Regions from separate parts of the Mus musculus genome. Here all the other regions are reported to be linked to region 4. Evidence: microRNA targets listed by miRTarBase, many of them from high-throughput screens and not tested one by one. Region 4 holds a microRNA gene; each other region holds the end of a gene's coding sequence.
Evidence for each region. Region 4 holds the annotated microRNA mmu-miR-195a-5p (UAGCAGCACAGAAAUAUUGGC, at 3,229-3,249, opposite strand). A microRNA usually pairs through its seed, bases 2 to 8, with sites in the 3' UTR of a target mRNA and lowers its output. Matches are read on the target gene's strand: a 7mer-m8 pairs with bases 2 to 8, a 7mer-A1 pairs with bases 2 to 7 and ends in A, and an 8mer does both.

Region 1: miRTarBase lists Cdk6 as a target of mmu-miR-195a-5p. Seed matches in the 3' UTR shown: 8mer at 1,376-1,383.
Region 2: the mRNA of Trim2 is a reported target of mmu-miR-195a-5p. Seed matches in the 3' UTR shown: 8mer at 1,698-1,705.
Region 3: miRTarBase lists Mapkap1 as a target of mmu-miR-195a-5p. Seed matches in the 3' UTR shown: 7mer-m8 at 4,940-4,946, 7mer-m8 at 4,301-4,307, 7mer-m8 at 4,298-4,304, 7mer-m8 at 4,295-4,301, 7mer-m8 at 4,292-4,298, 7mer-m8 at 4,289-4,295 and 19 more.

The regions. Positions count from the first base shown.
Region 1 is chr5:3,518,220-3,525,927 of GRCm38, reverse strand. Cdk6 (cyclin-dependent kinase 6) reads right to left here. Exons shown (of 8, transcript NM_009873.3): 7 at 6,434-6,569; 8 at 1-5,283. The coding sequence ends at 5,137. Among named protein-coding and RNA genes, the nearest start is that of Fam133b, 22 kb to the left of the region's middle.
Region 2 is chr3:84,160,426-84,168,133 of GRCm38, forward strand. Trim2 (tripartite motif-containing 2) reads right to left here. Exons shown (of 12, transcript NM_001271727.1): 11 at 7,227-7,367; 12 at 14-4,824. The coding sequence ends at 4,672. Among named protein-coding and RNA genes, the nearest start is that of Mnd1, 8.5 kb to the left of the region's middle.
Region 3 is chr2:34,620,997-34,628,704 of GRCm38, reverse strand. It overlaps Mapkap1 (mitogen-activated protein kinase associated protein 1), which reads right to left. Exons shown (of 12, transcript NM_177345.4): 12 at 3,747-5,282. The coding sequence ends at 5,157. Among named protein-coding and RNA genes, the nearest start is that of Gm34372, 14 kb to the left of the region's middle.
Region 4 is chr11:70,230,603-70,238,310 of GRCm38, reverse strand. Mir195a (microRNA 195a) reads right to left here and starts at 3,269; the gene lies at 3,176-3,269. 0610010K14Rik (RIKEN cDNA 0610010K14 gene) reads left to right here and starts at 397. Exons shown (of 6, transcript NM_145758.1): 1 at 397-527; 2 at 686-780; 3 at 1,333-1,434; 4 at 2,100-2,287; 5 at 2,511-2,615; 6 at 2,847-3,107. The coding sequence starts at 507. The coding sequence ends at 2,851. Mir497b (microRNA 497b) reads left to right here and starts at 3,495; the gene lies at 3,495-3,619. It overlaps Mir497 (microRNA 497), which reads right to left and starts at 3,594; the gene lies at 3,511-3,594. It also overlaps Rnasek.

The DNA of each region.
Region 1 (7,708 bases), not on the chromosome of region 4:
GAGAAACATTTAAAATTGATATCCCCTCTCTTTCAGAAGACAAGAGAACAACAACAAAAATAGTTTTGGCTTACTGGCTTATTTCCTTAAACAAGACCAACAAAGCCGAAACTGAGTTAGAGATGTTTGAGATATGCAATCCTACCTTGCAGAGGCGGGAGGCTGTGGGCACCAGCCCCTCCTGGCCTGTATAACTGGACTGAGCCTGTCCATAGGAAGGAAACTGGTGGGAGACGAAGGTGTCCTCATTTGAGACCACTATCACTAATCATTCCAGGACTCACACCTTGCACCAGGCAGCTTCCCCACTGTGGCAGATGAATGCACGGACACCTTCCTTAGGATGTACTTGGATGTAAGTATGCACAGGATAAGGGGTTTTTGTAAGGATGCACATGATCCCTTTATCATGGTTTTTGGATAAGGCTTATAAGTTGTCTATTCTCAGCTGCACGAGAGGCAAAGGCCTTTTAAACTTTAATTTTGTATAGATATTCTTAGGCATATATATGAGTAGAGCTTCAGATGGCTGCTTTCTTCCTATGAAACAAGAAATACAGAATTTGTGTATTTTGACATACCTAGTCCATAAGTGCTGAATGTGCGGGATGACTTATAATTATACTTAATTATAATTCTTAGAATATACTTAAAGGCAAACAAATATGGTTAACAATTTATGTAAAAATTAAAATAACCTTAAACATACTGTTGCCACTTTTTTGGTAATTTTTAAAGATTAAGAAATTATACAATGTCTTTAATTTCATGTTACAAGCAAGCATGTATTCTTCCAATGGCTATCCATATGTGCTTACACAAGTGTCACACTGGGATGGGGATTTTCAATGTTATTCTTTCCTAGACTCTACTATGTGACAAAAGTGTGCTTTAAGAAAATGTGAGCCACTTCTGTGCTCATCATAAAAAATAGTCAGCTGTCATGGTGGTGCATGTCTTTAGTTTTAGCAGGCAGATCTACATGAGTTCAAGGCCAGCCTGGTCTACACACTGAGTTCCAGGATAGCCAGGGCTTCACAGAGAGACCCCATCTCAGGAAAAACAAAACAAGACAAGACAAAAAGCCAAAACCAAAATCAGGTTTTCTCCAGAAGAGGAGTTCTTTGGACAGAAGATTGAAACAACTGTGATGTTTGAAAGTTGACATGATTTAACTCCCACAGTGACGATGGCTGTGACTGGCTTTAGTAGTCACAGCTTTTAATAAAGCAGCTATGTTTACTTAAAAGACAAGTTCAGGACATTCTTTAAAACTCAAAATGCTTGCTCCTGACTTTCTCAAGCAAGTTGGCTAGCACCCATTGCAGGGTGGACGGCACAGCTTTCTATTCAAAGGAAAGTATTGTCTTTGAGATAGCAGCACCCTGTGCAACTTGGGGTCTTCATTTTTACTTAGCACGACCATGTGGAGGTCCTATTTTTAAGTGAGCTTCTGAGCTGAGTTTAGTAAATCACTTGGGGCTAAATTCAAGTCTACTGGTCAGAGAGTGGGTCCTGAGAGAAAAAACATGACAAGCTGGGGGCAGAAATGGCCCCGTGCTACCTGAACAGCTTCTCCATGGCTTAACCGTCTGTCGTCTTTAAAGAGGGGCTGAATAGGAGGCGGCGGGCCACTGGGTGCTCTCAGGTACTCGGCAACTGTGTTTCTAAGGCTGTCAGGTTAGGACTACTCACCTGTGAGGTTAGGGGGTCTAACTGGAGAACCCGCCCTACCCTCTTTAAGAGGTTGTTGTAACTCCAGCCAGTCCTGTAAATGGTAGAGTCTCTGGAACCAAACCTTGAACAGAAGCTATTCGGTATATTCTTGCCCTAGTCTCACTAAAAGCTGCTTCAGTGGAACCTCAGGGCAGTAGGGTCTCCTCAGTGAATCAATGGTTAGATTCTGACAAAGACCTGTGACTGGATGAGGCCATCTAAGGATAAGCGGCACACAGTAAGCTCTTCAGTTTACTCTATGTTTCCCTGGGCTACTAAAGACCCCAATGGCAAGTCTCCTTGTGTGAAAACCGGGTTTCAGAGGTGTGAGTCTGATGTAAAGACATATCCAGAGAGCACCTATATGAATGAAGAGCTGGCCAGACATATGATGTCCTGAGAGGTTGCGGCGCCCTTTCTCTACCATCCACCACAATACGCCATGTTTCTAATACCAACATGTCTATGATTTAAAAATATTACTCAAAGTTTGGAGTGGGCTGAGGAGGGTAGCTCATGCCTTTAGTTCAAGCACACTCGAGACAGAGGCAAGTGGATCTCTGAGTTTGAGGCTAGCCTGGTCTACAGAGCAAGTTCTAGGACAGCCAGGGCCACATAGAGAAACCCTGCCTAGAAAAAGCAAATTAAACAACAACAAAAAAACAAACTAAACAACTAACCAACCAAACCCAAAAGCCAAACACATAAACACACACACACACACACACACACAAACAAAGCCAAAAAAAAAAAAGACCCCAAAATTAACCTCCCACTACCTCACTCACCAAAAGCCAAAACAAAACTACTTAGAAATAAGCTCAAGACAGCTGACAAAAGTGAAGTTAAACTCTATACTTAAGACTCTAAAGAATACGGGAAGATTCCAGTTTAGGATAGCTGTATTTTTCTTGAGCAAAGCTAAGGAAAACAATCCTTTCTTTTTTCTTTTTCTTCCTTTCTTTTTTTTTCTTTCTTTCTTTTTTTTTTTTGGCGAAAGCAAAACCCTCAAAATTATTTTCACTTTATCACATGGATGTTAATATAGAATGGATTAGGCCTCAATGCAGTGAGTTTTATGGTCGATTTCTAGGCCCTAGCAAAAATGTCTGTATTTTGGACCTTGTTCAATGACAAGGCAGAACTCGCTGTCCAAGTGAGACCTCGAGTAGACCTTGTCCCAGAGGTTCCAGGCTGACTGTCTCGAGCGTTGGCAGTGTCGGCAGCAGAGCTGTGAGGACGAGCGCAGAACATTCTCAGCCTAGCCTCTGGCTTCTTAAAGTTTTGTTTTTGAAAAAAGAAAAAATCCTTTCTTGCGATACTGAATCAGAAGAATGTAATGTAATGTTAAAAATAAAAATAAACAGAAGAAGATGATTCCCAACCTCCAAAGCTCTCAGGAAAGACATCTAATTCTTCTCCATACAGATAACCATATGCAAAGCCGGGCGTGGTGGCGCACGCCTTTGATCCCAGCACTTGGGAGGCAGAGGCAGGCGCATTTCTGAATTCGAGGCCAGCCTGGTCTACAGAGTGAGTTCCAGGACAGCCAGGGCTACACAGAGAAACCAAAAAACAAACAAACAAATAACCACATGCATTGTTCAGCTACGAGAAACACAGTAAGGTCCATAACATACAAACACCATCTGGAGCCTACACTGCCGTGTGAAACATCAGGCAGTCTTTCAAAGCTCTACAGTGAAGCATCATCTAGCGTTTACTTAAATGTGCTCAAACACGATTCAAACAAAACTCAGCTACGCTTCCCGAAAGCTGCCTTCTACACCTTCTATGGAGTAGTGCCAGCTTAGCACTAAGCCACGGATATAATAAGGCAAAGGTGGCACAGAATGTAAAGGACTGAAAGAAAACAGTAAGGTACAGTTGTTTATAATGCCCAGGGTAGGCTGGCTCTGCAGAAAGCAGGGCTGACATGAGGCCTCAGACAAAAAAAAAAAAAAAAAAAAAAAAAGAACAAAAACCCAGAAACACATCCTGCGGACAGACAGAGAGATCACTTTAGAGAGTAAGTAGTTATCTCTAGAAGAGAGGAAAAGACATTTCCTCAGACATTACACTGACAACATACACTTAAAGATAGGAAACACCAAGTGACAGTCGGTAGTAGTCTATACACACACAGAACAAGCACTCTTCACTGCCTAGGTGACCTCAGCTGCGGCAGGGGGAAGACTGTATTACAAAGGCACAAGGGGATACTGTTAGGGTTTCGGAATGGGAGCCTACGCCCAAAGCATTCGGTGAAAGACGGTAAGCGTGCAAGCGGGTGTGGGATTGGGGCAGCTGGGCCATCTGTCGTTAGCCAGGCAGTGGCAGGAAAATGAATTAGAAGTGCTGGTGGTTGAGAGCTTCGCACTACACAAGGCAGCACAAGGCAGATGCGCCATGGTGGGTGGTGGAGACAGCTAGATGGTATTCCCGCCTCTAGTCAGAGCAGGAAGTGATTCCCTAAGGTGACAAGGTATCAAGGTATCAAGAGACGTGAAGAAAATGATAACATCTCACACCAGAAAACAGGTGCTCTCTATCTTTAAAACCTATCTGAGGTACACTCACTCCTTAAATGTATTGCAAGTAATAAGATACTTATAGCATCTTTCCCCAAAGAAACAATTAAGTACATACTGTACTATATATAGGGCCTGGGACACATTAAGTTCAGCTTTCCAAAGAGTAAATAGAAGATGTATGCCTTAAAAAGTCTCTTAAAAAATATTGTGGTTCCCCCCATTTTTTGTGGCATCTAAACCTTTATTGTTTACTGCTAGCAAAAGCTTTTGGACAGGAAGGCAACTCTGAGGACTTAGGTCCAACCTTCCTAACAAGACTCCATTGTGAATCACCTTTCACTGAACAAGCCCTTCTTACTATCAGTCACCTCTACTCTTTAAAACTCAATTATTCTTGTTTTCTACAAAAAAAAAGTAACACTTGACGAGATCAGGGGTCTTTCTCTCCCCTCCTCTTCTCTCTTACACACACATACGCATGCACACACACTCACAAGTACCAAAGCAGGCCCAGCAGCTGCAGGCGGATTACATCATAACTCAGCTGGGCCTGGATTCCCACCCTACACTGGCAGCATTCAAGGTTAGAAAACGAAATGGCAGCACAATTGGTCAGCAGCTTCTCTTCTTCTGGAAGTTTTCCAGGTTCTTGAAACAAACAGACAAAACAAACAAGTGTACAAACGAACATAAAGCTGCAATCACCCTTGCATTGATCTCTGAACAGTAAACTAGGTGGTTTCCTTGGTAAGGCAGAGCCCACCCAGAAGCTGGCAGCCAGAAGGTTGGCAGCCAGCAATCTTCAACTGCTCTGAGAGGCTTGCTTAGGGGACTCGCAGCCGCCAATGTGTTCAGATGACGAGCTCATGGGCATCCCCGTGGAACCTCAGGCTGTGTTCAGCTCCGAGGTGCTCTGGTTGGATGGCAGGTGAGAGTTCAGGTTGTCCTTGTATCTCTCCAGATCTTGGAAGTACGGGTGATTCAGGGCGCCGTAGGCGGATATCCTTTTAGCTGGATTAAACGTCAGGCATTTCTGCAATACAGAGAACATCTGGTGTGAAACATAGCACGGCCAACCCTGGACCTTGGGGGAAGTCTTGGAAAAGGTGGCTAAAATTTTTCCACAGTTCTATTTGGGGAGAAAAGTCACCAGCACGACATGAACTAAAGTAAAACACCCCGACACAAGAAGTGCTGCTTCCGTAAAAACAATTAATGTGATTACCAGACACCTGACTTAAAATTACCTTCTAGTATCACAACTTACTCAAGGGTTGAACATTCTCACCTTTCTTCAAGCTGCCCTGACCACATAACTGACCTAGGCCTTTGGTCATGGTTCTACTTGCCTCCATGAGAAAAACATGCCACCAGGCAGGGTGAGACACACAGACACATGCAGGTTTGATAGACCCACGGTCTGAATCAAGAGTACGGGCTCCTAATTCAGGATCAATAACAGACTTATTCTTCATAGGGCTCTGACTCTGAGAACAGAAGGAAGAGGGCCTTCTGTGTCTGCAGGAAGGACATTATACACAACACCAACAACGAGGAGTTTGAGTTTCAAAATACAAAAGTGCTTATTAAAAAAAAAAAAACTTCATTTTAAGAATAAGTATTCGCGTCTCTGTGTGTGGGAATGTGCGTTTGAACCCAAGCGCCTGTGGGGCCAAGAGTGTCTCTGGAGCTAGAGTTCCAGGCTGCTGTAAGCTGCTGGGTACAGGTGCTGAGAACTGAACTTGGGCCCTCTGCAAAAATGATACATATTCTTGAGAACGGAGACACCTCTCCAGCCCTAGGATCTTGTTTTTAATGGGATATCTTATATGTGAATAGCACACAAGGTACTTATTCAGTAAATCAATAACTACAAGTATGGTTACTTGGTTCCTTTGGGGGGAAATATTTTGCAAAGATGCGACTAGCACGTTGCTTCAAGTGGCATGAAACTTCAAGCGAAGAAAAGCAATTTCTTGTCAAGAAGCCTTTGCCCAAGGAACCTAGCGTCTCATAAAGCTTCGTCCAAATTCACATTCAAGTGTTGAGAGCTGGGTTAGGAAGACATTGCAGAATCAAAACTCACCAGCTGGAAACGGAATCCACAAAAACAAATACAGCCTCCCACGCCACGTCGTTGCCACATGGTTGGGGCACAAGGTGACGGCATCCCAGGAACTTACCAGAAGTAGGTCTTTGCCTAGTTCGTCAATATCTGTCACAAACTTCTCGATGGGTTGAGCAGATTTGGAATGAAAAGCCTGCCGGGGAAGGGCCACGTCCCTAGGCCAGTCTTCCTCTCCTGGGAGTCCAATGATGCTACGGAAGAACCAGACGGGAATGTAAATGCCTGCGGTTTAAACATGACCTTCCTTACCAAATCTTAGAGCGGCACAGGGAGAACCCCACCTCATGGCAGAAAGGACTTCTCATTTACCCTACTGCAAACTTCACTGACAAGAGGAAGTGTCTGTCCCTGGCAGCAGACCCCCGATGGAAGGTGTGTATGTGAATGGCACTGGTGCAGCCAGGGAGAAGTCCCGGCTTAGTGACAGGGCAGGGCGCCCCCCTGGTGTAAGTCTTGGTGTAGTGACAAGGCAGGGTCTGCCATTCTGAAGGACACTCATCAGATATACCAAGTCTTCACCTACACCCGAAGCTTCGCTTTGTGGTGTGATACAACAGTTCTGTGAAAATGTGTTTTCAGGCAGCTCGTCCGGCACGGCTTGTGACACGCATCACTTTGGCTGAGGTTCGTAAATTAAAGAGCAATATTCTAAACCATTACATAAATTAGACTCAAAGATAAGGTTAAAAACTACGATGGGCCTGTCTTATGGAAGCGCTGTGTAATGGTATTCCAGAGTGAGAAACAGAAAATTAGAAAGGGTATCATTTAGATTCCCCCCTGACTACCATTCTGGGATCAGAAATGTGGAGGAAACAGCGAGTCATAAAAGAGCTTTGGAAATAGGCGGACGTGGCTTCAAATTCAGCACCTGCCCTTAATTGACAGGTAAGGACAAATTACATGACAACTATGAGCCCTGGTGTCTTTATGTACGTGACAACAATAATTTATGGTTACAATGAGGGTTGGCGGTAATTTACTGAAACTGCACATTACAGTACCATTTGTTACTTATTAATGGTAAGCAGGTGGCCCTATATGATTTATCCAGGTGTAGTATTATTTATAGTTTATGTATAGGTGCTAAGTGTATTTGGACGGTACAGACTCAGTAACTCTGAACTAAAAGAAGACAAAATCACAGTTGAGCGGACAGGATATATGGTGACCTAGATAATGATCCAAACTATTTTAACCCTAACTAGAAATGGCGCTGGCCTGAATTAAGGTTCTGTTCTGACTTCCTGACGCGCAGGCCTAGAAAGCGTGGTCACAAGCATCTTTTAGGAAAGGAGGTGGTAAATGTCACAGGATAATATAATGTGAC
Region 2 (7,708 bases), not on the chromosome of region 4:
TAAACACTCAGTCTGCAGGTGGAGAGAACAAGCTTTATTATAATGATCTGAGACTTTTGTGCATGGTAACGATATACACTCGAGTCTTGTTTCTCCTGTGTTTCAAGACAGAATTAATTTAAAGTTTTATAGACTAAAGCATCCAAAATACTGTGGTACGGATGTAGCTACGAACATACAAACACACTGATGCACGGCGTCCGTTCTTCTATTTAAACAGGCAGTCAGCATTTCAATTCATAAAAGAACATATGAGGAGGCTATATCATTATCAATGGCAGAAAACACAAGACCAGTGGTCTGTACACAAAATGTATGAGACAGATGTGTCAAGGTGGAATGTACAAAATCTTCAAAGAAACGAAAAGGGAACAAACAACCCCCATTCTCGTAGGCAGCCTCCGATGGCTGCAGTCAGGAATGGTGAGAAAGAACGTTAGCAGAGGGTACTGTGTTGATAGCACAACGTCCCACGTTATAAAGCAAAAGCATGAGGTTAAGGCTGTGTTGCTTTCAAAAGTTAATGGAAGTGCTGTACATTCATTGGAACAACATAGCTGATTATTAATCTCTTCTAGAATACTAATGAATCGCATCCATACATTCTCCACAAACAGACCACACAATCAACTACCACACAGTTCATTAGAAAGTGTTTTTGAAGATTAGCGTCATGATTTGTAGCTTACTGTCATTTGAAACAAAACCAAAAAAAAAAGTATTTATTTATACCAAACAAATATTTAATGGGCACTTAGTTTCCTTTATGGCAATACTAGATTCCTAGTTATCAAAAATATTAAAATAATTGTAAAATTTTAAACACCCTGCAACATTTACATAAAGTAACAGTATTAGGACTTTTGATTTTAAGGGAAATTAGAAAGGTTTGCATCAGGCAGCTTCAATGCTATCCTACTTGGAAAAAGGTCTTGTTTTAAAAGCATTCACCAAAAACAGAAATTCCTCTTCCCTGTTCAGAAGCTGGTGAACAGAGAGGGTGATCTACAGTTCAAATGCATAGAGAGACTTTTCCCATTTGATGTGACCTACAGATGGCCTGATGTTGATCTGATCTCTCCAATTTCCTCCGTAGGTATTACCAAAGCATTTATGCTAACCCTTTAGAGCGAGGCTCCATATACCTGGTTACGTCCCGCTATTCCAGTTCATTCCCCGTGAGGACATACATACCCTGTACATGTAGTGGGAGCAGATGTGCAACAGCTGCATGGACCAGGGGTGCTTATTGCCTCAAATTTTGTCAAGTTTAGGAAACTCGGGGGCTTATTTGGTTACAGAGACTAAAGTTTCATCAAAATCTTACACATCATTTAAACACCAGCAAACAGTCATAACAACTTTCTAATTGTGTGTTTCTGGATAGTCAAAGTGACTCCCTACCACCCTGTGTCCAGCAAGGGAGGTTTATGGCGGGAGAAGACACACTATCGTTAACCTATAAAACCTAACTGCTTGTCCTTAGTGCCCAAGGGAAAGCTGAACGCTTACTTTCTCAGTGCTACGTATCATGAATGTGTGACGGGTTCTATACACTCAACGAAGATCAATTGGACAGTAACAGTAGCCTAGAACAAAAAAAGCCACTTATTGTAATAATCCTTCTCAGTTTACCAGAAACCATTCTGACCAAATGAGACAAAATTCCATTTAGACCTTGTCTATTTATATCTTAGTAGCAGCACTCCACCCCCAACCCCCAATTCGCTTACCACAAAGAAATACAGTGAACACACACAGGTACCCAGGTGTAGAATGTAGTGTTTCTTGCAGTGCCCACAGCAGGTGCTTTAGTAGCCAATGGTGGAACAGGTCTAAATTAAATTACCCTTTCATTCCAGTTCATACCAATATTTGTGTGTTAAGAAAAAAAAATTTGTGTTATTTCTTATTGAGCTATCAAGCCTGACATGATATTTTATATGTGCAGCTGATTCATTTACGAATTAATTTCTCAGTTCACAAATATCTCAACATTGTACAAAATGAGAACTCATTTGGTAAATTCATTTTCAAAATAAGAGTTGCAACGTGGAGGTGTGGCTCAGTTGCAGAGCCCTGATTCCATCTCCAGCACCACAAAACAAAGAACCAACCAACCAACCAAAAACAGCCCATGGCAGCCTCTTTAAAAAATGTTTTCTGGCCGGGCAGTGGTGGCACACGCCATTAATCCCAGCACTTGGGAGTCAGAGGCAGGTGGATTTCTGCATTCGAGGCCAACCTGGTCTACAGAGTGAGTTCCAAGACAGCCAGGGCTACATTGAGAAACCCCGTCTTGGAAAACAAAAAACAAAAACAAAATTTCTACTTTTACATTTTTAATTTCTACAATTAATTTACTCATTTTTTTTTAAAAAAAGCTTTCTTTTAAGTAGCCCAGAAACAGAAACAGTCCTGCAGGCAGACTATTAAAGCACAACGATGTCTCCTTTCCAGAGTATAAGCTGTACAAGGGCAGAGATGCCTTTCTCTTCTAAGCATCCCTCTGGTCCCAGTGCCTAGATGCATTCCTGGCCCCTGGTCGGAAGCCTGGAGGGAGAAACACTGACATTCATACTGAGGGTTGGGCTGCAGGCTCTGCCCGACTGTAGGGCTCTTGCTGAATATCTCTGAGGCCGTGAGTACCATCCCCAGCACCAAGAAAAAAAAATTACAACCAAAATATCAAAGACTTATTTCATGATATTCAGAAGCAGTCTTACCTTATCGTTCTAAAATTGGTATTAAATTTTATGTCTAGTAAAGACAGGCTTGTGTATTTTAAAACCCCACAGAACTAAAATAATAATAAGCTAAATACCAATGTAAATCTTCTGAAAATAAAGTTTTTCCACCCAGATGTTGATTTGGGCATAATGAATTAAATAGACCACTGGAAGTAGCCAGATTTCCCTTCTAAATTTTTTTAAAAAATTTATGTCAAGAACATTTGAATTTTAAGATAATAAGCCATAAACATCATCATTTGTATCTAAGGGAAGATGTCTTTTACAGTAGATATCTAAGGTGCTTTCGGTGAATGACATCACAGCGTCATCATCAAACATGCAAAGCACAACATTCCTATTTGGTAGAACTGAGTAGAAAATCAGTGGAAAGAGAACACATCTTAGTTTACAGTATCCATGACAGGTAATGTTTCTCAAATGCATTTATACCTAAATGAAAGGTAACTCAAACTCAATGTTATAAAGACTTCTTTCTTTCTTTCTCTCTTTCTCTTTCTTTCTTTCTTTCTTTCTTTCTTTCTTTCTTTCTTTCTTTCTTTCTTTCTTCCTCCCCTTCTTCCTTTTTTTCTTCCTTTCTTTCTTTTTTTTCTTGAACACAAAGAAGGTAATTTGACTGGAAGCCAGACATCACCATCATGCCAGGAAATGGCAGCACAGAAAGCTGCTGTGGGGCTCACTCTCCAGGGACGGCTTCAGACTGCAACAGGCAGGGAATGTACTGAAGGATGGCTGGACAATGCTTCTGTCTTTCAGAGTGCTGCCTATTCCCGCACACCAAGGACTCAGCTATATATTTATATATATATATATATGTATAATACATTCTATCTTACCCTAACCATGTATACTTGCCCCCTTAATGCCTCTACTACTCATTAGACAATGATAAATAACCACAACATGCCCTTACCTGTAATGCTCAACAGAACTTTGGTAACACTTGCTCTCTAAGGGGAAATCATGAATCAATCACATGCCTTTGGTTGACACCATCCATCCTCCAAAGGGCTGCTTATGGCTCTCTGTCCTAGGACACTGGCGTCTGACTACATGTGCTGACGTTTTGCAGGAGGTAAAGCTTTCGCTTTCGTGATGTGGAAGAGGAAAGACACATGAACGCATGGCACATGAATGTGACTTCTCTTGATTCCATTCCAGTGTGTTGATCTGAAGCTAGTAACCAAAGAGTCCCCTTGCTTTTGCTACGTGCCTTCCAAAGCATCGGGAATTTCAGGTTTTCCTGAAAATATATTTCATTTTCTGATGCAAGGTGAGCAGAAATGAGAAGGTGAAGAGAACACATGGAAACGATCTTTGATCAAACCCAGGAAATTTGGGGAATTTGCATTGATTCTGATGGGCTCAACTCAGGGCCTGAGTTGAACTGAAAGGATCTTGCAAGACAGCCTTGGATTTTTCTAAGGTAATTTATATGTGGTTGTTGATAAGCAAAAACATGTCACCAGAATAATAACACCTACTGTAAAAGTGAGGTTAGAAGGTCCCTTGGGTCTTGTGATCGAAGTTAAATAAAATAGGCAACTACAAGTTTTGTTCTTGGAAGCTCTATGCAAAGGCTATCATTCATTCACCAGTCAACAGATACGCTAATTCTTTTTAACGTCTGATTTGCAAAATTAGTTTAACTACAGAAATCCCTGTCCTATGAGCCATAGTTCATGGGTGTAAAACTTCGCAGTTTGTATAGATTCAGTAGAAGAAGATTCTTTTTAAATCCTAAAAGTGAATTACGGAAATTGGATAGACAGTTTTTAAAGAAATGGTTACATTCAGAAATAACCTTGGGAAGTTCACCGAAGATTCTTCCTAGTATGAAAAGTCCTATCGTAGTCTGGTCCCACCTTGAGAACTCCATTCCAGTTTCTAGTGCAAGACCTCAGTACAGAGCTGTCCACTGTTACTGTAAGTACCGGTAGACCTTGAAACAGTGGTTTCCGGAGTCTGCAACCACAACATGGCCATCTGAAGTGAGAGCCAGGCCCTGGGGGCCATAGAGCGGGTCAGCAGATGTGTTGATATAGGACAAAAATGATCCACTCCCATCAAAAACCTGCATAGACATAAGACCAGAGCATCAGGGAAGTTACATATGCAGAAGGACATGCATTTAAAATAAGGAACGCATGTCAGGATCCTTCTGAGCTTGCTCAGGCTGCTGCTGTGCACACAGAGTATTGATGGTTAACCTTGGTTGTTGATCTAGTTGGTTCTAGAAACAATGATGAGATGGGTTCTAGAAACATCCATAAGTATGTCTCCTAAAAACATGACCTGGAGGGGAAAGAGGTGACTCTCCCTCGGTGTGGGCAGAACCTCCTTGTTGTGGCCCAGGCCTAAGGAGATCTGGGAGAGAAGTTGCTGCTTTTGGCCTACTGCTTTCTGTCCCGGCTGGTGGGTGCATCTGCCTTGTTGGTGCATCTGCCACCACTGCTATCCTCATTTGCTGACACTGGAACCCAGCTTCTGTAACCTTCCAGGACAGGCTGAAGACCTGAGGTTCTCTCGAAATCCTCTAGGGCAGTGATTCTCAACCCCTTTGGCAAACCCCTATCTTCAAAAGTATATTACAAGCAGTTACAATAGCAAAGCTACAGTTGTGAAATGGCAACAATAATAATTTTATAGCTGGGGTCACTGCAACATGAGGAACCGTCTTAAAGGGTCCCAGCATTAGGAAGGTTGAGAACTACTGCTCAGGGCCTAGAGTCTAGCCCTTAAACTGCCATGTGGGGACTGCTGAGGCAGAGGCATGGTGGGCTGAGAAGCTCCCAGTGTCTCGGCCTTTTCAGCATACAGAGGACGATGGTTGGACTCACCAGCCTGAGTCATGGAAGCCAATCTAATAGCTGTTTTGTGACATGCATTCAGTCTGTTCTGTCCCAGTGAGGACCCTAGCACAGCACCCTTGTCTCCATTTCCACCTGTTTTGTTTCCTCTCCTGCTCTCTCCATGACTAGATCACTGACGTAGAACTTGTTGGCTGCCGTGTCTTATCTTACTATGGCTGTGCCAAGACAAAACAGATTTCATTTTTCCTTGTCGAAGTCTATAGTTCAATGTGCCCATCTGGATAGGCAACTGCTTCTTTTATGGTCCATGTGATTCTGCTGTGATGAAATTCAGAGACACAAACCCTGACTCATAACACTTTCTCCTTTACAAGTTCCCAGGCTGGGTTCCTTCTAACCATTTTGTTTAGCCCACGTGGGGTTTGAGAAATAATGTAAGTAGGTGGATGCCATGAGGCCACACAATATAAACAGCATCCACGGGCCTTTGGAGCTCGCCTGCCTCCTGCCTTCTAAAGTACCCTCCTACCGACTACAGTGAGACTATGGGTAGAGATCTTTTGAGACAGGGTCTCACATAGTCAGGCTAGCCCCAAACTTGTTATGTAGTCAACCCTAAATGGCTGTTGATCTTTCTGTCTCTACTTCCCAAGTGCTGGGATCACATGTCTGTGCAACCATGCCCAGCTTACACGGTACTGGGGATTGAACTCAGAACCTTATACATACTAGAGGAGCAGTATACCAACTGAGCTACTACACGTATCTTCATCCCAGAACGTCTCTATGAATACAGAAGTCAGAGTAATTAAGATATATAGTATATACTTATATTATATATAATTGTATAGCATATAATATAGATGATAGATCTTATATACATGGGAAATATATACATAAGAGAAATATATATGTGGAAAGTAAAATCATTACACTGATAGTCTCAATTATTTTCTTGATTATACAGGGAGTTCATAGTCAACTTGGGCTATATAGACTATGTCTTAAAGAAATGAAAAAATACACAAAATTAAATATGTGTAGTATAACCATCTATAAGGCTTGAAGTCAGTCAAGCTGGACTTGAACTTTCTACATAGATGAAGACAACCTGAATTACTTATCTTTCTTTTTCTACTTCCCCATGTACTGGGGGTATGGGCAAGTGTCACCATATCAGGTTTTGGATGTTTGCTAACTGGCACATGAAATGAAAAGATGTCATGGTCACAATGAACATAAACAACAGTGTGGAGTGTCTGGGACAACTGTAATGAGACACGAGTGTGCGTGTCTCTCTCTCTCTGTGTGTGTGTGTGTGTGTGTGTGTGTGTGTGTGTGTGTGTGGTTTTTCTTAGTGACAATCATAATTTGCCCGTACTCACAATTAAGAAAACTTGATTCTTCACTTTGAGATGAGTAAAACACCCACGTAGTACCTTTTTGTTCAACGGCTACGTTGAATCCCAGCCATGGGCCCTTTAGGGGTCTGAAGAGAACAATATTCAAACCAAAAAAGGTACCTTTCCTGTTTGGGTGTTTGGTCCTTCATGTGAGGTTATCTACGGTTTAATGACTTAACCAGAAGGAGAAGCATCCTGGGTTCTAGGATGGGCACCTTCAATCCCCCCTGCTGACACGCTCCTGAGAAGAGCTGGTGTACCTGGATCCTGCTGTTCCCCCAGTCAGCCACAATGATGTTCCCATTTGAGTCCACGGCCACACCTGTTGGTGCATTAAACTGCCCATTTCCTTCTCCATTGGAGCCAAACTTCAACATGAATTCTCCTTCCTGATTAAATACCTGTATGAAATATTGAAAAACTTTTATTTAAAAATAGCTGACCCAGCTACATTGCTTTTTTCTTAAATAGCTGTCAAAGCAAGTTATTTATAATGAGACCTGTGACTTGAGAAAAGACTGAGGAAAGTCGTCTATATACTAGCCTCCTGTAGCTTGTGGTTCCCAAAGCCTATGCAATCTCATTTATTATTTATTAAATTACTCTTCTTTTTCTGCCATTTACAACTGGTTACTACATACTTGGGGTTTTTTTTTTATAAATTACAAAATACAATATGCTATAAGATATTCTGAATAAAACTTAAACTATTTATTTTAAAACACTAAATATTATCTTCAAA
Region 3 (7,708 bases), not on the chromosome of region 4:
CTATGCAGCACCCCCAAATTTCTCTTTTCCTTTCTACTCAGTCCTGTGCCTGAACCTTAGGTAAGGTGACAGCCAAGCAAGCAAGAGCCTCGTGCAGCAAATGGCACAGCAACGCTGAGACCTGCTGTGTAGCTGCAAAGCCATGTTGTTAGCCTCCTGTGGGGACCCTCCACTCCCAGGGAAGCTACCAGTCACAGTCGATGTCCCCACGAGGACTGCAGTCTTCCAACTCTTCCCCAGCATGCTAGGGTTCATGCAGAAAAATATCACCCCAAAGGAGGTGGCCATAAAGATTTGTGGTAACCTTGCTTCTAGAACTTTCTTAATTTACAGCTTCCTCCAGCTGTTTTTTTTTTTTTTCTCCCTCTTCCCCAACACACATCAGTTAAGTTCTTAACACAGTCAAGGGCTTGAAGAATGCTAAAAATTTAATGTATGTTAAAAAGGGTATTAAATTCTAAACTAAAATTTGCATGGAAATATGACATTAAAATACTTTTAGCTTTCAGGAAGCTGGGGGCTGTACCACAGACGGATTTTATCTGTTTAAAAAGAATTAGCTTTCCAGTATTTCCCACGGATCCCAGCAGTTGTGTGTAGATGCAAGGCCTGCCTGGGGCTGCTCAGCTGATGTGGTGGAAGAGAGCAGGGCCAGCTGCTGGCTGGGGCTCTTGGAGGCAAAGCTCAGACAGGGTCTGCCCTGCACTGAGGAGGCCCTGCTGGTGGGACGGGGTGGCCAGTGTGTTCTGTGCGTGGTTGGGCTGCACAGTTACCTCTTACCTGTGCCCCAATGCACACGCCAGGCCCGTGCACATCACTGTGTTCATTTCACAGACGGTGGGACGTGGCTATGCTTGTGCAGACAAGGGGTTCAGAGAGCTGAGTCATGGGTGTGGGCTCAGCACAGCACAGGGAGGTAGATGTTAATTTCCTCTGTGGGTTCCTCAGTTGGCTCCCTGGGCTACAGCGGGGGTGGGGGTGGGGAAGGGGGCAAGCTTAGCCTTTTCTTTTCCTCCTTTGCCTGAACTCCACTACAAGTTAGCCTCTCGCATCCTCCACCTTACAGGCAACTGGATCCCTGGCTGTAGGGTCCTGTGTGCTGCGTTGCAGGAGCCATCTCCTGGTAACCTTGAGGAGGCTGGGTGGGGTGCACAAGAGAGCAGAACTGGCCTGGATCCAGGAGAGGCGGCCAGCAGGGGATGTTGGGCGGAAATGACCACTCACGGCCACCGCACCTTAGGGAGGTTACTCATTGGCAGTTAAAAATCTATTGTGACTTGTCAGAAAAATGAATAAATGGGCACATTAACTTCTGATTCCAGACCTCAGCATGTGTTTGTCTCATCAGGAGGTGAGTGAGCGGCAGCCACTGCGATGGGAGCCCTCCTGCCCGTCACACTGAGAGCACTGTTGGCATGGGGGGGGGGTCCACAAGAAACAGCGCTCCCCAGAGGGGCTCTGCAGCTCTCCGAGGAGTGTGGTGGAGACAGATATTCGTGCTTTGGGCCTCCCAGCTGCCCACTCCCTGCCTGCCAGTGGGCTGGGGGCAGATGGGTGGATAGACAGGACGTGTGTTTGGTCACTTGGGAAGAGGGATTCTCTACTGAGGAATTGCTCTCCTCAGTCCAGATTACAGGCAAGCTTGGGGACATCACTGATTGATAATTGTGAAAGGCACCAGGCCACTGAGGGTGGTGCCATTCCTGGGTAGGTGGTCCTGGGTGCCAGTCTGGCCTCTGCATCAGCTCCTGCCTCCAGGTTATCTCACAACGCACTGTGGCCTAGAACTCACAGATGAACATACCCTTTCTTTCCTCAAGCTGCTTTTGGTCAGTGTTTATCACACCAACAGAAGGAAAGCAGGCCAGGACCACGAGTGGCTTTCCTTTCCTCATCTGTAAAGTGTGGGAGGGCTTGGCTTGGGGTGGCCAAGATTTGTGAAATAGAAATGTGAGCCTACAGCCTGTGAAATTCAGACCAGGGTGGGCACTGGTAGACATCACCAAGGCAGGGTGATGAGATGGCTCCCAGGGTAAAGGCACTTTCTGCCAAGCCTCATGACCTGAGTTTGAGCATAGGACTCATGGCTGAAGGAGAACAAACTCCAAATTGTTCTCTGACCTCCACATGTGTGTACCTGCCACCCATAGAACAAAATGTGATAAAAATAGTCTCAAAAATTCCAAAGGTGGTTAATGCCCACCCTGTGGTGTGACTCTTGTGCATGCCATGATTTGTGCGGTACTTGGATGGGTGGTTTAAAAATGTTTTTCCTTGGGACTGGAGAGGTGGCTCAATGGTTAAGAGCACTGACTGCTCTTCTAGAAGTCCTGAGTTCAATTCCCAGCAACCACATGGTGGCTCACAACCATCTGTAGTGGGATCTGATGCCCTCTTCAGAGGGTGTGTCTGAAGACTGCATCACAATGTACTCACATATATAAAATAAATACATCTTAAAAAAATGTTTTCCCTTGATGTGTATGGTGTTGCGTCTACATGGATGTCTGAGCATCACAGGTGTGCCTGATATCCAAAGAGATCAGAAGGGGGCACAAGATCCCCTGAAACTGGAGTCATCGACAATTGTGAGCTACCATATGAGTGCTGAGAACAGAACCTTGGGTCCTCTGGAAGAGTGATCAATCCTCTTAACTATTGAACCATCTCTCCATCTCCCTTTCTGTTTTGAGACAGGGTCTCAATACGTAGCCTTGGCTGGCCTGGAATTCTCTCTGTAGACCAGGCTAACCTTGAACTCCCCAGGGATCCACCCGCTCCTGCCTCCTAAGTGATGGAATTAAAGGTGACTTGGTCCACTCTTAATAGCGAACATATTGAACCCTCACAAGCACCCTAGAAAGGAACCAGTTTCACCTTCATTTTACAAAAGGGGAAACTGAGGGTCAATGGAGTCAAGTAATTCACATAAAGGCCCAGCAACCAGGAACAGCTGGGATTGTAGTGCACTCTGGTGAGGGACTGCATAACTTTATTGGTCCTTACTCCCATGTGTTACAGCCCTGGATCTAAGGAGATGGGGAGCCCCTGAAGGCAGCTAGAAGGGATATGAGCGGTGGGGCTGCCTACCTACCAGCCTTTGACTCCATGAGGATAATAATAAGCTGGGAAGGACACATCAGCAGAGTATCGCCACATTGTTGGCTAACCATGCCCAGTTGGAGGGCTTACAGTCAGCAGGTAGGTGATAGGTAGTTAGGATGACTACGTTGGCCAATAGGGACACCATGGGGCTTGACAGCACTGTAGCCAGAGGTGCTGGCTGAGGCTCAGAGATTAGGCTAGACAGTACTGACACCCCTGAGATCAGATGTCCTAGGGAAGCGTCTTCATGGCAAATGCAACCAACCAGCAGGCTGGCTCACCACTGCCCAAGGAGTGAGGGCCACCGCCGCCCACCTATCACAGCCGTGGACTGTGACACCAGGCAACTCAAACCCCTGAGAACCTAACCAGCTGAGAGCCATGTGCCAGCAACTGTGGAGAGCAGAGCCAGAGATCCCAGCGTCCCGGGAGTAAAGGACGACTAGACGTGGCTTGTGTACAGCTTAGCATGGCTGGGCATTTTCAAGTGCCAGGGTGTCACCCCAGGGATCTGCTATGACATCACCATATCAGCAGTGTGTGCTGCATTATCAAATGCCAGGGTGTCACCCCCGGGGACTTGCTGTGACATCACCATCTCAGCACCGTGTGTGCAAGGATTTAGGAATTCAAAGCAATATACAAAAGAGGGTATTTATGACTTTTATTTTAGTATTTTAATATTGAATATGTGACAAGATTTAATGACCAAATTAGTCATTTACAATTTCAAAGATATCTAAATATAAAATTGCTAAAAATTCAAATACAGAGCAAGCTACAAATAATATTTCTTTTGGGGGGAGATAGGAATGGAAGACATTAGAAAAGGGTGCTCCTGTTGGCTGAACAGATCAGAATGAGAGAGGCATTCATTCAGTCGACCCCTTTGCAAAGAAGCACACTTGACTCTGAGATGCTTAGACACAATGATTTAAAAAATGTCCTAAACACAGGTCGTATAAGATATCGGCTGTGGCCCTGGCCCAAGGATGCTGCCACAGGCGGGACCATGGTGAGGTCTGCAGAGGCATCTGGTGTAGACAGAGGTGTGGTGTGGTGTCAGGGTGCTGGGTACCTTGCCTTTTCTGCCCAGGGCTTGCTCTCCTTCTCCCTGATTCAGTATAGCAGCAGCAGCAGCAGCAGCAGCAGCAGCAGCAGCAGCAGCAGCAGCAGCAGCAGCAGCAGCAGCAGCAGCAGCAGCGTCTGGCTCCACAGCAGGCACCGGTAAGAGGATTGGAGATAGGTCAGAGAGGCAGGCTGACCATATCATACTTGCTATGAGGAGATGAGAGAAGACCCTGGCTGGGAACTCAGCACCACTTGGAGACACTGTCACACTATATTACCAGCACCTGTCTCTCAGATCACAGGCGCTGACATGTTGAGAAGGCCTTAGAAGGCTACGCACGCACGCACGCACGCACGCACGCACCCACGCATGCACTTACGCTGGGCACATGCTAGGTCCTCAATTCCTAACTTTAGTAAGATGCTATTCTCAAAGCAAATCACTTATTTAAACAAATGGCACAGTTAAACTACTGGCTAAGCCCTAAACATTGCTTCTGAGAGCTCCAACCACAGCTTTTGTAATCTGCCTGTTCAATATGGGAACAGATTTTAAGGAAGATAATATAGTCAATCCTCTACCCCAAAGAATGGTCCATCATACCAACCACGATAAAGAGTATACCTGTTTATTAAAAGGAAAGAAAGAGAAATGTACACTTTTGTTCTTTGTTTGCTTTAAGAAATTTGATCAAGTTGCAAGGAGATGTCTGGCATGGCTATGTACAGTCTTGCTGGGACTGCCAGGCAGGACACACGGCTGAGCAGCACTCAGCCCCTCCAGGAGGTGGCCTGGCTCCTGGGCATTGCTACTTAGAACCATTGCCAAGTTTCAGTCCAATCGCACCCCTACCTCTAAACCTTCCCCTAGAGCCCAGCAGCCTGTGCCTGCGGGTCTCGGCACTACAGGATGCTGGTGGACTCCGGTCCACCTGGCCTTGCAGGCCACCTGGGCTGTGGCACCAGACTAGAGGCCAGTGTCACTGCTGCCCTGATTTCTTCTCCTTCTGGAAGCTGAAGCTTGTTCGCCTGTTCAGTTTTCTTTGTTTTTGAGCAAGATAATCAGCTCGGGCAGTGCTCGCTCGTGATTCCAGGATGTAGTTAACCTAGAAAGCAAGAGGACACGGCATCACTTGGCAGCACCAGCTGTTCCCCCAGGGCAGAGCTTGGGGTGGAAGGGAGGCCATGTTTGGGCAAGGGATCCTGGGAGCAGCTGCTCTGACACGGTGCAGTCTGGCAGGCCAGGAGGAAGCCCTCGGTTCATATAGATGGAGGCCCAGTGCAGGCTTCTCAGTTGCTGAGCAGTGGGGCTGCTGACCCACCCCTAGGCTTGTGCTCTTCGGTGTCTCAGAGGGCTGCCTACTCTCAGACATGTCCAGCCAGCTCCCGAGGAAAACACGCGAGGCAGCACATCCTCTGCCTCCTGATAGCCTGGCATGTGTCCTCTATTGTCCGCTGCACCTACCAGCCAGGACCAAGTACGCAAAGTGAGGCTCAGAGGACTGCAAGGGCTGAGGCCACTGGGGTCAGGGTTGACTTCAGTTGGCTGTGTGTGTCTTTTCTGGGCCACCTGTGGACCTTCAGACATGGCTTTCCTGCCTGGCTTTTTGTGAAAACACAATTCTTTCACTCTCACACGTTCCGAAGCCTCACCAGAAAGCCCAGCCTTGGTTTGGAGAAGGCAGCTAGAGGCTCTTGAGCAGGGCAGTTGCAGACTGAGGCTCTGACAATGTCCCTCCAAACTTTCAACAGTAGGAGGTACAGGCAGGCATGCGGATACAGAAGGCCCGCCTCACCCGGCCGCAGCCTTGCCAACTTACCAGCTGAGAGTCATAAATCAGGATGTAGGTTGGCAAGGGTGCTTTGGGCCGGCGTGGACTTGGTGGGGATGGCAGGAGGCGTCCTCATGCTTGGTAAATGCCACGTACAGTGCTTGCACTCAGCTGACCTGGCGTTTGTAGTGTATTTTTGGCACTTTTAATTTGACAAAAGCATTTTAAAATGGTCCTTAACAAGCCAACTATTTCCTAAATTTATTATCTTCAGTACTTTGTGATAATCACATAGATAATTTTAATGCAAGATTAATGTAATAATCAAAAGATAAAAACGCCCTTTGGTCTGCCATTAGCTGGTTAATATGCTGTGGCTTAAAACGTGCCCAATTTTATGCACTATAGAGGGTTTTACTTTCGATGCACTTTACAGCTTAAGGCATAAAAATATAGGGAGTTTTCATGGTCAATAAAGCCACAGCCTCCATCACTCAATCACAGAAGAACCCGGTGTGAAGAGCCCAACAGTTCCTCAGAGATTCATCTCAGGCCAGTGGAAGGAGGGCCTGTGTGCGCCAGCATATGTGGAAGGTGGACGGCAGCCGTAAGCAGCACGGGCTCCATTGAGGCTCTGCATCCCCTGAGACCTGGGGCCTCCATCTCCTCACCTCAAAAATGGGGACAATGATGTCCTTATGCTGCAGGCCAGTGGGGAGGGTTAGATGGGATACAGGGTGTGAGACATGCCCTTACTGAGGCCCCCTTCATCATCCTACAGAAAGCCTCTGTCTGTGATGGCTAAGCTGCAACAGTCTTTGGGTCTTAATTTCTCTATTTATTTTTGATCTAAACTCTCATTTTTACTTGAGTCTGAGGTGGATCCTACAGAGCCTCAACTTAACATTTCTGTCAAATTCTGGAGCTGGGCTGGGGTCTTGGAAGCTGAGCTCTGGCACAAAGCTGACACTGGCCTGGCTGAGGCACGGAGGGAATGTTAGAAAGCTGACGTACAACCTTCTCAAAGAGAGGAAAGTGCACTTCAGCCTTTGGTCAGGACACTAACCATTAGCTGTGAGTCAGGCAGGCCGGGGACGGAGGCCTCTGAGGTGCATGATGGCGTGAGATTTCGCCCAACACCCTGAGATGTTTCCCTGAGACAGACATTTCAGGGGAAGAGGCAGGCCTAGAGGTGGGGGCCGGGGGCGGGGGGGAGTTGCAAAAAGCATGTGCTCTGAGGGAGCATTTGGTCCTGGAATGATTTCTCTGCACTTGATCTTCCGTCTCATACTCAAGTCATAAACCTGTGTTTCTGTCATCAATCTGCTGTTGTGAAAATTATTCTGATGTCAAACACAAGATTATAATTTTACTAGAATCCTTCTCACATCTTGAATATTTTAATGCTGGCTATAAAAATAAGTCCAGGAGGGGGAGACTGGGATATTTTTACCCACTCTGCAAATACCTGGGACTTGCTCCTTGGACTGCCTTGTGAGGTTCCGCTAAGTAACTCTTGGCTCCCTGGAGATCTGTGGTGTAGAGTGGGCACGGTCCTCATGCTGGTCTCTGGGGAACTCTGCTCAGTGTGGCCTGGGAAATTCCATGCCTGCCTATGCTCTTTCTCCTCTTTAACTGTCTTCCAGGGTGATTTCCTGGTGGCCATGTGGTGTTTGAACTACAGTCTTCCTATAAAGCCAGGGAGCCTTGGCTACTGGCTACACATTCCAGAATCTGCCACACCCACCTACCATCAAGCG
Region 4 (7,708 bases):
CTCCCCAGCCCCCTTCTCTATTTAAAGACTCCGCAGACTCCGTCCCACTCATCTGGCGTCCTTTGGGACTTGTGACCCTAGCGAGACGTCATCCCTGGCCCTGCAAAACTGCGCCCAGCCTCTGGAGGAGACCGAGGGTGACCGCGCCCCGTTCTGAACTACAATAAAAAGAAGCGGTTCCCCCTAAGCTTGCTGTCTGTGCTTTCAGGGAGGGGCGGGCCCGGGCTGGAAGGGGCTGAGACCGGCCTCATCGAGGAGTCCGGACCCTCCGACGGAAGTGGAATGAAGCTAGCCGGAAGTGAAGCAACGTCTTCCACCTCGTCTTCCTCCGCGCGGCGAGGCCCCTTGAGTGACTGGGGAGAGGTCGGGTCTCGGCCAATCAGCTGCAGGGAGGGCGGGACTTCCTGCGCGGGAGCCCGAGCGGCCGGCTGCCGGGCTCTCCGTGGTTTCCAGCTCGCGTGGTGGTGGTGGCGGCGGAGCGTCTCCGTGAGGAGGTGCGCGGGGCCATGACGTCAGCGTCCACCAAGGTTCGACCTCCCTCGCGGACTGCGCTCCCTGGCGGCCACGGGAGGGTGGGCCCCCTGCCTGGCTCCCGGCTGGTGCGCGCTGGGCGGGGGGCGGGCGGATCCGAGGCTGGGGTGGGACGGCGCGCTGCCGGCCCCCCGTAATGCTGCTCCGCCCCCAGGTTGGAGAGATCTTCTCCGCGGCCGGCGCCGCCTTCACGAAGCTCGGGGAGTTGACGATGCAGCTGCATCCAGTCTCGGACTCTTCCCCTGCCGGGTACGTGAGACCAGCCTAGGACCTGGACTCCGAGATCAGACGCTTGGACTCAAGTCACAGACACGACCCTCTCTAGAGCAGGGAGATAGAGTAATTCCCCTGTGCCTGGCCCAGCTCAGTGTAGGTGGTAATTGTTGAATTAGTGGATGACAGGTAAAGAGACTACCGAGGCCACAGCCCTCCACTGCAAACCGACAGAATGTCTGCCACCTACCCCAAGCCCTGTGGACTCCCTCAAACTGCTGCCACACATCTTTCAAGGGTTGTGTTTGTAAGGCCCCTACTTGTTTCATTGGTTTCCGTTGGGTTGTTTATGGAAGCTGTTACATGATGAAGTGATGTTTTCAAGTGGCCCTGGATGTAATTTCATGTGGCCAGCGATTTGTCCCCAGGGCTTTTTTTTTTTTAAAAGGAGGTCCTTTTTATGAATCTTTGAAAGGTGCCCCTAGAGACTAGGGGGAAGAGGCTGCTGGCTGTGGACGGAATAGCCTGTGGGCTGGTTCCACACATCCCTCTTCCACTTTTGTTATCACCCTTCTCCCCTTCCGACAGTGCCAAGTGGACGGAGACGGAGATAGAGATGCTGAGGGCTGCTGTGAAGCGCTTTGGGGACGATCTTAATCACATCAGCTGTGTCATCAAGGAACGGACAGTGTGAGGGAGGGTGGCTGGCAGAGAAAGGGGAGGGTGGGCAACTTTCTTCCTCCTGACCCATTGTTCTCTCTCAGAACTCCCAGCTCAGCATCTTTCCTACTTTGTTCCTAGTTTTGTTAGCATTTCCTTGAAGACTGAGAGACTGTCACTGTGGCAGTTGGTCGGAAGATCAGGAAATGCAGTGGTCACTAGGGCCTGCAGAGAACTTTATTTTCATGGTGCCCAGATACTCAGTGGTTGTGTTTGATGATAAGAGTTCCCTAGCTATTTATGTAAATCCTTTGAAACTGGCATGTCCAGGGGATGCATTCTGAACTAATTAGTTGGTCAGGTTCTATGACAGTCTCAGTCTACCTTTATGTCACCACAACATACCTGGTGGTCCTACAAAACCATGCATCTCTCCCAGAGGATCATGAAAAGGGCCTTTCTGGCCACTCAGTTCAGGGACTCCATTCATCTTAATCTATTAGCCCTAAGTGGATGCAAAAGTTCTGAACGTGGGGGGGGGGGGGAGGACCCTTATTACACATGAACTGGGGCCTTGACCTGGATATCTACAAAGGAACTCCTAGAATTCCTTCAGAGTGGCCCATTATTCCCTCCCCTCCCCTCTTCCCTCGGCTTCTCTGATGACACCCTAATCTGCTCTCTCTCATCTTCAGGGCTCAGATAAAGACCACTGTGAAGCGAAAAGTGTATGAAGACTCCGGCATCCCCCTTCCAGCTGAGTCACCCAAGAAAGGACCCAAGAAGATGACGTCCGGTGTCCTCTCACCTCCAAACGCCCCTCCACCCAGCAGCTCCAGTGTCCCTGAAGCTGGGGTTCCTCCCATAAAGAAACAGAAGGCTGGTGAGGGCTGTGGAGTTGCTGCCTAGGGTAGGGGTTAAAGGTCCTATCTGAGATTCAATAAGAGAATTGGGCCTGGGTCAAAGAAGGAGAGACGCTTCTCTTCTGTACGCTGGTGATTCCAGAGTGGGTAGAGGGATGTGTAGAGCATGAAGCTTTGGCAGACTGGGAGGAGGGAAAGACAGCAGTCAGGGAAACCTAGAACTTAGCCTATGCCCCCTCCCAGATGTGACACTCAGTGCTCTGAACGACTCCGACGCCAACAGTGACCTGGTGGATGTCGAAGGGCTAGGAGAAACTCCTCCAGCCAAGAAACTCAACTTTGACCAGGGTAGGAGTCCTCCTCCTCCCACGCTGGCTGGGGGTGGGGAACATACTCACCTGGATGGTAGGGGAGGGTCCCCACAGAAAACCCCTTTCTGGTGCAGGGGCCTCAGAAGGAAGATTCAGTGCAGGGGAATGGGTCAGTTAGTAATACGGCGTTTGAGGAGGTGAGGGTTTTCTTGGAAAAATCCTCCACGCTTGCTCCATCTCTGTCCGTTTTCCTTCCTGTTCCAGACAGCCTGACCCTGGACTCTGGCCTCCTCACCACCTCCGCTGATGCTCCTCTCCTCTCCTGCTGAGCCTTCCACCTCTGACCCTCATTGTTCACCCTGGACCTGTGGATCACCTGGGACTCTAAGCAAGGACTGCCTGAGAGAGGGTCAGAGGGCTGCTGGAGCCATCCACCTCGTTCCTGATAACCATGTGCCCTCGCCCTTTGACTTCTGTGTGATGGACATTTTTATACAGAAAATTATAATTAAAAAAGATTCTCTCAACATGGTGCTGCCAGCTGCCGTTCCCTCTCCTCTGCTTCGCCCTCGGGGCTTGGCCCCTTCTCAGTAGCTCTCACCACCCTGCCTGGAGCAGCACAGCCAATATTGGCAGACTCACTTCCCCATGCCAATATTTCTGTGCTGCTAGAGCCAGGAGAGTTGGGTGTGGGCAACAAAGACTCTACTTTGCTCTGTGGGGCCAGAACTCATTACCAGGGTTCCTGATAACTGGTATCAGACAACCTGGGGGTTGCAGAGGGGCTCTTTCCAGTGTCTCCTGTCCCACCTTGCAAGAACTTCATCACAATACCCTAGACGGTGTGTGTGTGTGTGTGTGTGTGTGTGTGTGTGTGTGTGTGTTGCTTCTCCAGGGTGGCCTCCCAGGGCCAGGCTCATCGGTGCCTCCCATACCCTCGCTCTAACACCACAGTGTGGTTTGGACGTGGCCACAGTGCCGTACAAACCACAGTGTGCTGCTGGGGCGGGGGCAGGACTGGGGTGGGTCGAGAGGAAGACAGCACAGGCAGTGCCGTGAAGACCCCCACCTAGAGTGAGACAGAGGTGTGAATGGCAAACATGGCCCCCCAAAAAAGCTGGGGGGGGGGAACAATCAGGAACCAGCAAAAGTAGTTTAGCAGGCAAAGGATAGGGCCCTGGCAGATGAGTCCAATGTGATAAGCTTGGAGCATTCTTCACCTCTGTAGGAATTCAGCTCTGGGGATCCTTAGGAAACGGGATGACTGGGGAAGACCAACAAACTGCCTCCCACAAAGGCAGGGACCTAAGGTTTCCTGTGTCCATTCCTCCCTCCCTAGGTCAGAACCCAAGAGAAATGCTGGAAGACACAGGGCCAAGGACAGCAGGGTTGGGAGTTGGCAGTCCAGAGGTGGTGGGGCTGGAACACGGTTGAGAGAGGGGGGCCGGAAGTCGCCCTGGGCCCTGGGCCTGCCACAAGATGGAGGCCAAAGGCAGGAAATGGAGGCCAGGGAGAAAGGGATGCAGCAGAGCCCAGGAAGAGGCTCATCTGGACCAGAGGGCAAAGTATTCAACCCCAAGTGCTGCTTCCATTCCCCATGGTCCCCCAAGACCCACGCCCCACCCACACAGCAACACTCATTAGCCCATTCACCAGGCCCAGGCAAGCAGGCCCACCCCTGAGAGCCACGTTTAAGCAAAGACAAACATGCCTTTTCCCCACCCCCAACCCTAGGCCTTCCCATAGCCCTTTCCTCCTGTCCAAGACTTGATTTTAAAAAGAACCTCCCAGAAGGCAAAAGTTTCTTCTGGAAATTTCAAAACAAAACAAAACTCTGTAAACCCTAGATATTAACCTCCCATATCTCATCCCACCTTTTAGCACCACCAGGCTTCCGACACACCCCCCCAAAACTCTTAGCAATCAAAAGATTTAAGATGGTGTGTGAAGCAATCTTTTTAGGCCCCCCTAGTATGCCAGACCCTCTCCAAGACTACCAGATCACCTATATCAAGCCCTGCCAACGCCTCCTGCTCCTTGCACCCTCCTGGACCCCCAGAAACAACTGCTGTCCCCCAGCTCCCATCCCAGCAAAGCTTTTGTGGGGCTAAAAAAAAAAAAAAGCAAACACTGTCCTAATGTCTGTAGGAATATTGGGGGCTCTCAAGTCTCAAGCTTTGGTTTCAGTATGAGGTGCTACGTCTTAGGGGTACAAGAGAAAGCTTCTCTGGTCATCCCCCCAATTTCAAGAGTTACAAGGCGCAACCCCACCCCAGCACGCACCTCCAAACCTCCCCCCCAACCGCCACGTCTCTCCTGAAAACAGGGGACACTTTCCTCCCCACTTACCTCAGCTACTCTCCCCTGAGATCCTGGTCCCCTATTTTGAAAGGAGCAAATTTTGGGGTGCATCCCTCACATTTGGGGTGCAGGAGAAAAGAGACGCCCCAGTCGCATCGCTGGCCTCCTTCCTCTCAGCTGGCTCAAGGACTGGGGAGTGCCCTGGGGTGGGGGACCCCCACAAGAGAGCTCTGGAGGGGTTCCTCCACTCCCAGTCAGAACTGGGGACACCCCCCCAAAACCCGTCCCAGCCCATCCGTCTCCAACTCGGCGGGAGAGGCAGCTGCATTGCCCCAGTCAGATTCCCCCAACACTACATTCCTCACCCCATCTAGAGGGATCCCGGGGCCCCCAAAAAATCCCAAAAAAATCTAGGATGTTGGGAAGATGGTCCTGAACTAGCTACCCAAATTTGGGGTCCTTAGATACCCCCGTTTTTTCAGGAAAATTCTGTCTTTCTCCTGCCTCCCGCCAGCCCTGCTCTGTCCCGATGCCAATTTTGGAAGTCACTCCCTCCTTCCTCCTCCCCGTTTCTCCAGGCCCCCCCGCTTGGGGGCTAGGGTCCAGGACACCTGGTTTCCAGACCGGGGGACACTCTTTAGAAGGCTAGGGGCCAAGAGGTCAAGCTCATTGCCCCTGTCTCAAGGAAGCAGGAAAGCCCGATCCTCCCCTCCCCTCCCCTCCCCCCTGGCTGGTCTCGGTGGTGGTTTAGGAAAGCCTGGAGGACTGGAATCTGCCATTGCTATTGCACAGGCAGTTTTTTTTTCCTTGAGTTGGGGGGGTGGGCGGTGGGAGGGAGAGAGGGGAGGAGAGCCGAAGAGAGCAGGGACCTAGGCGGGAATATCTGGCCTGGCTTACCCTCTAGCCCCTGCTGCCGTTGGAAACCCCTCCCCCGCCTCTCAGTTCACCCTCATTCCCAATCCTCTGTCTGCTTTCTCTTTGGGGCTCTTATCTTAAAATATCAGGGTGCAAGATTCACCCCCCCCTTGTAGACCATCACAGCCTTTCCTTGCCAGTTTCAGCAGCACTGTTAGTCAGAAAGTACCCACTTTAACAAGAGACACCCCATCTCCTCCAAACGGATTTTTTCTTCCATAAGAAATCGGGGTTCAGAGTATGAAGCCACCTTTCCCCCCTTAGCACAACAGGTCATATTCCAGTGAGTCTATGATGGACCACACTGCTTTTTCCAGGCTTCACCCTTCAAATTCTGGCCTTATTTGGGGGTTCACTAATTTTTTTTACAATCTGGGGTGCCAGGGGACTATCAGCAAAAGATAACCTAAGTCAGAAGTGTGCTTTAGAATAGGTGAACCTCCAAATCAATTTCAATTTATGACCCACCTCTCAGCTTCACCAAATGTGGCCAGTGGCAAAACACCCAGAAACTGGATACCCCCCAAACTATCCTTCTACCCTGGGGGGGCTTCTCAATTCTCTCCTGTGGAGGAGTTTCACACATAAACATGTTCACAGGAATATCCAACCCTCAAAATGAGTTTCCACAAGATTCAAATACAAAACTTTGCCCCCCCATCAATCAAGCTCTCAGCTACAGAAAGCCTTCAGATCCTCTCCTAGCTTCTGGCTCTGCCACCAACTCAATGTAACTGGGCTCTCTAAAAAGCCCCAAGTTGACCTTTATGTCCCCAAACAATCTCATCCAAACCTTGAAACAGCACTTGGAAAGAGACTATGTCCCCCAAATTAGTTGCGTACTCATGCTCCCCCAGTAGACCAGAAATTAGAGATGGACAGTCTCACATGGGAGCATCAAATCCCTCCAAACCCCCGAACTAAGACATCTTTAAAACCAGCCCCGCACCTCCAATTTGCTATCAGCTGTCGAGACTAAAAACAGGCCTTATTGACTACAATAACTTCTATGGCAAGTGACACCCCAAAACTCAGAATAGCTAACTCTGTCCTGACATCAAAGCCCTTAATGTTTTCACCTCAAATTTGGAGATGAAAATTGGATAGAGACCAAATAATCTTCACAAAGTAAAGCCACATCGTCATCCAGGGTCCCTAGCTATCCCCAACCCCCAGTTGGTTTGCAGTTTTGTTTGCTACGTTTGCTTAAAAAAAAAAAAAATCAAAACCAATAAAACAAACAAAATGTACTCCACCCCCAAGAACAGAAGGGAGAGGCCTCAGGCCTAGATATGCTGGTCCATTCTTGCACAACTGCTATGCTCCAAACCCCAAACTCAAAGAGCTCCTGCTTTGTACCTGGGTTCAGCTCTGCCCCTCTTCTTCAAAGGAAACTTGTCCTTCTATCCCAAGGCTCCCCAAACAAAATCTAAGGGTGTGGTCCCTGCCTAGCTTCTGAATGAAGTACTTAGCTACCAGGTTCCTCCTGCCCTTTCTCCTCTGTCCTCTCTGTTTACTCCGACCAATGCTCATATTAATGTTCATTGAAAATTCCTGTCTACAAACATCTGGGTAGAAGGGTCTATCAAATTAGAAAACAAAACAACTGTGTTCCCAGGCTCAAGACCCCATCTCATCCTAACCACTATGTTCATTCCAAAGCCTTCCATAAGAGTTCTAGCCTGAATTTCCTGCGGAGACCCTAACTCTTCTGTCTTCGATCTACTGCCCCACAAAGAGACAGAGGTGCAGAGGAAACTATCAGAAAGAGAAGGCAGCTGAAAGTTTCCTGTAGCCTGGACCGAATGCATCCAGCTCACTGGTCTGAGCACATCACCAGCCAGGAGACCTAGGGGCGAAGCGAGGCTGGTGCTCGACCGCCCTCTCGTGGAAGGATGCAGACATTGCCGAGCT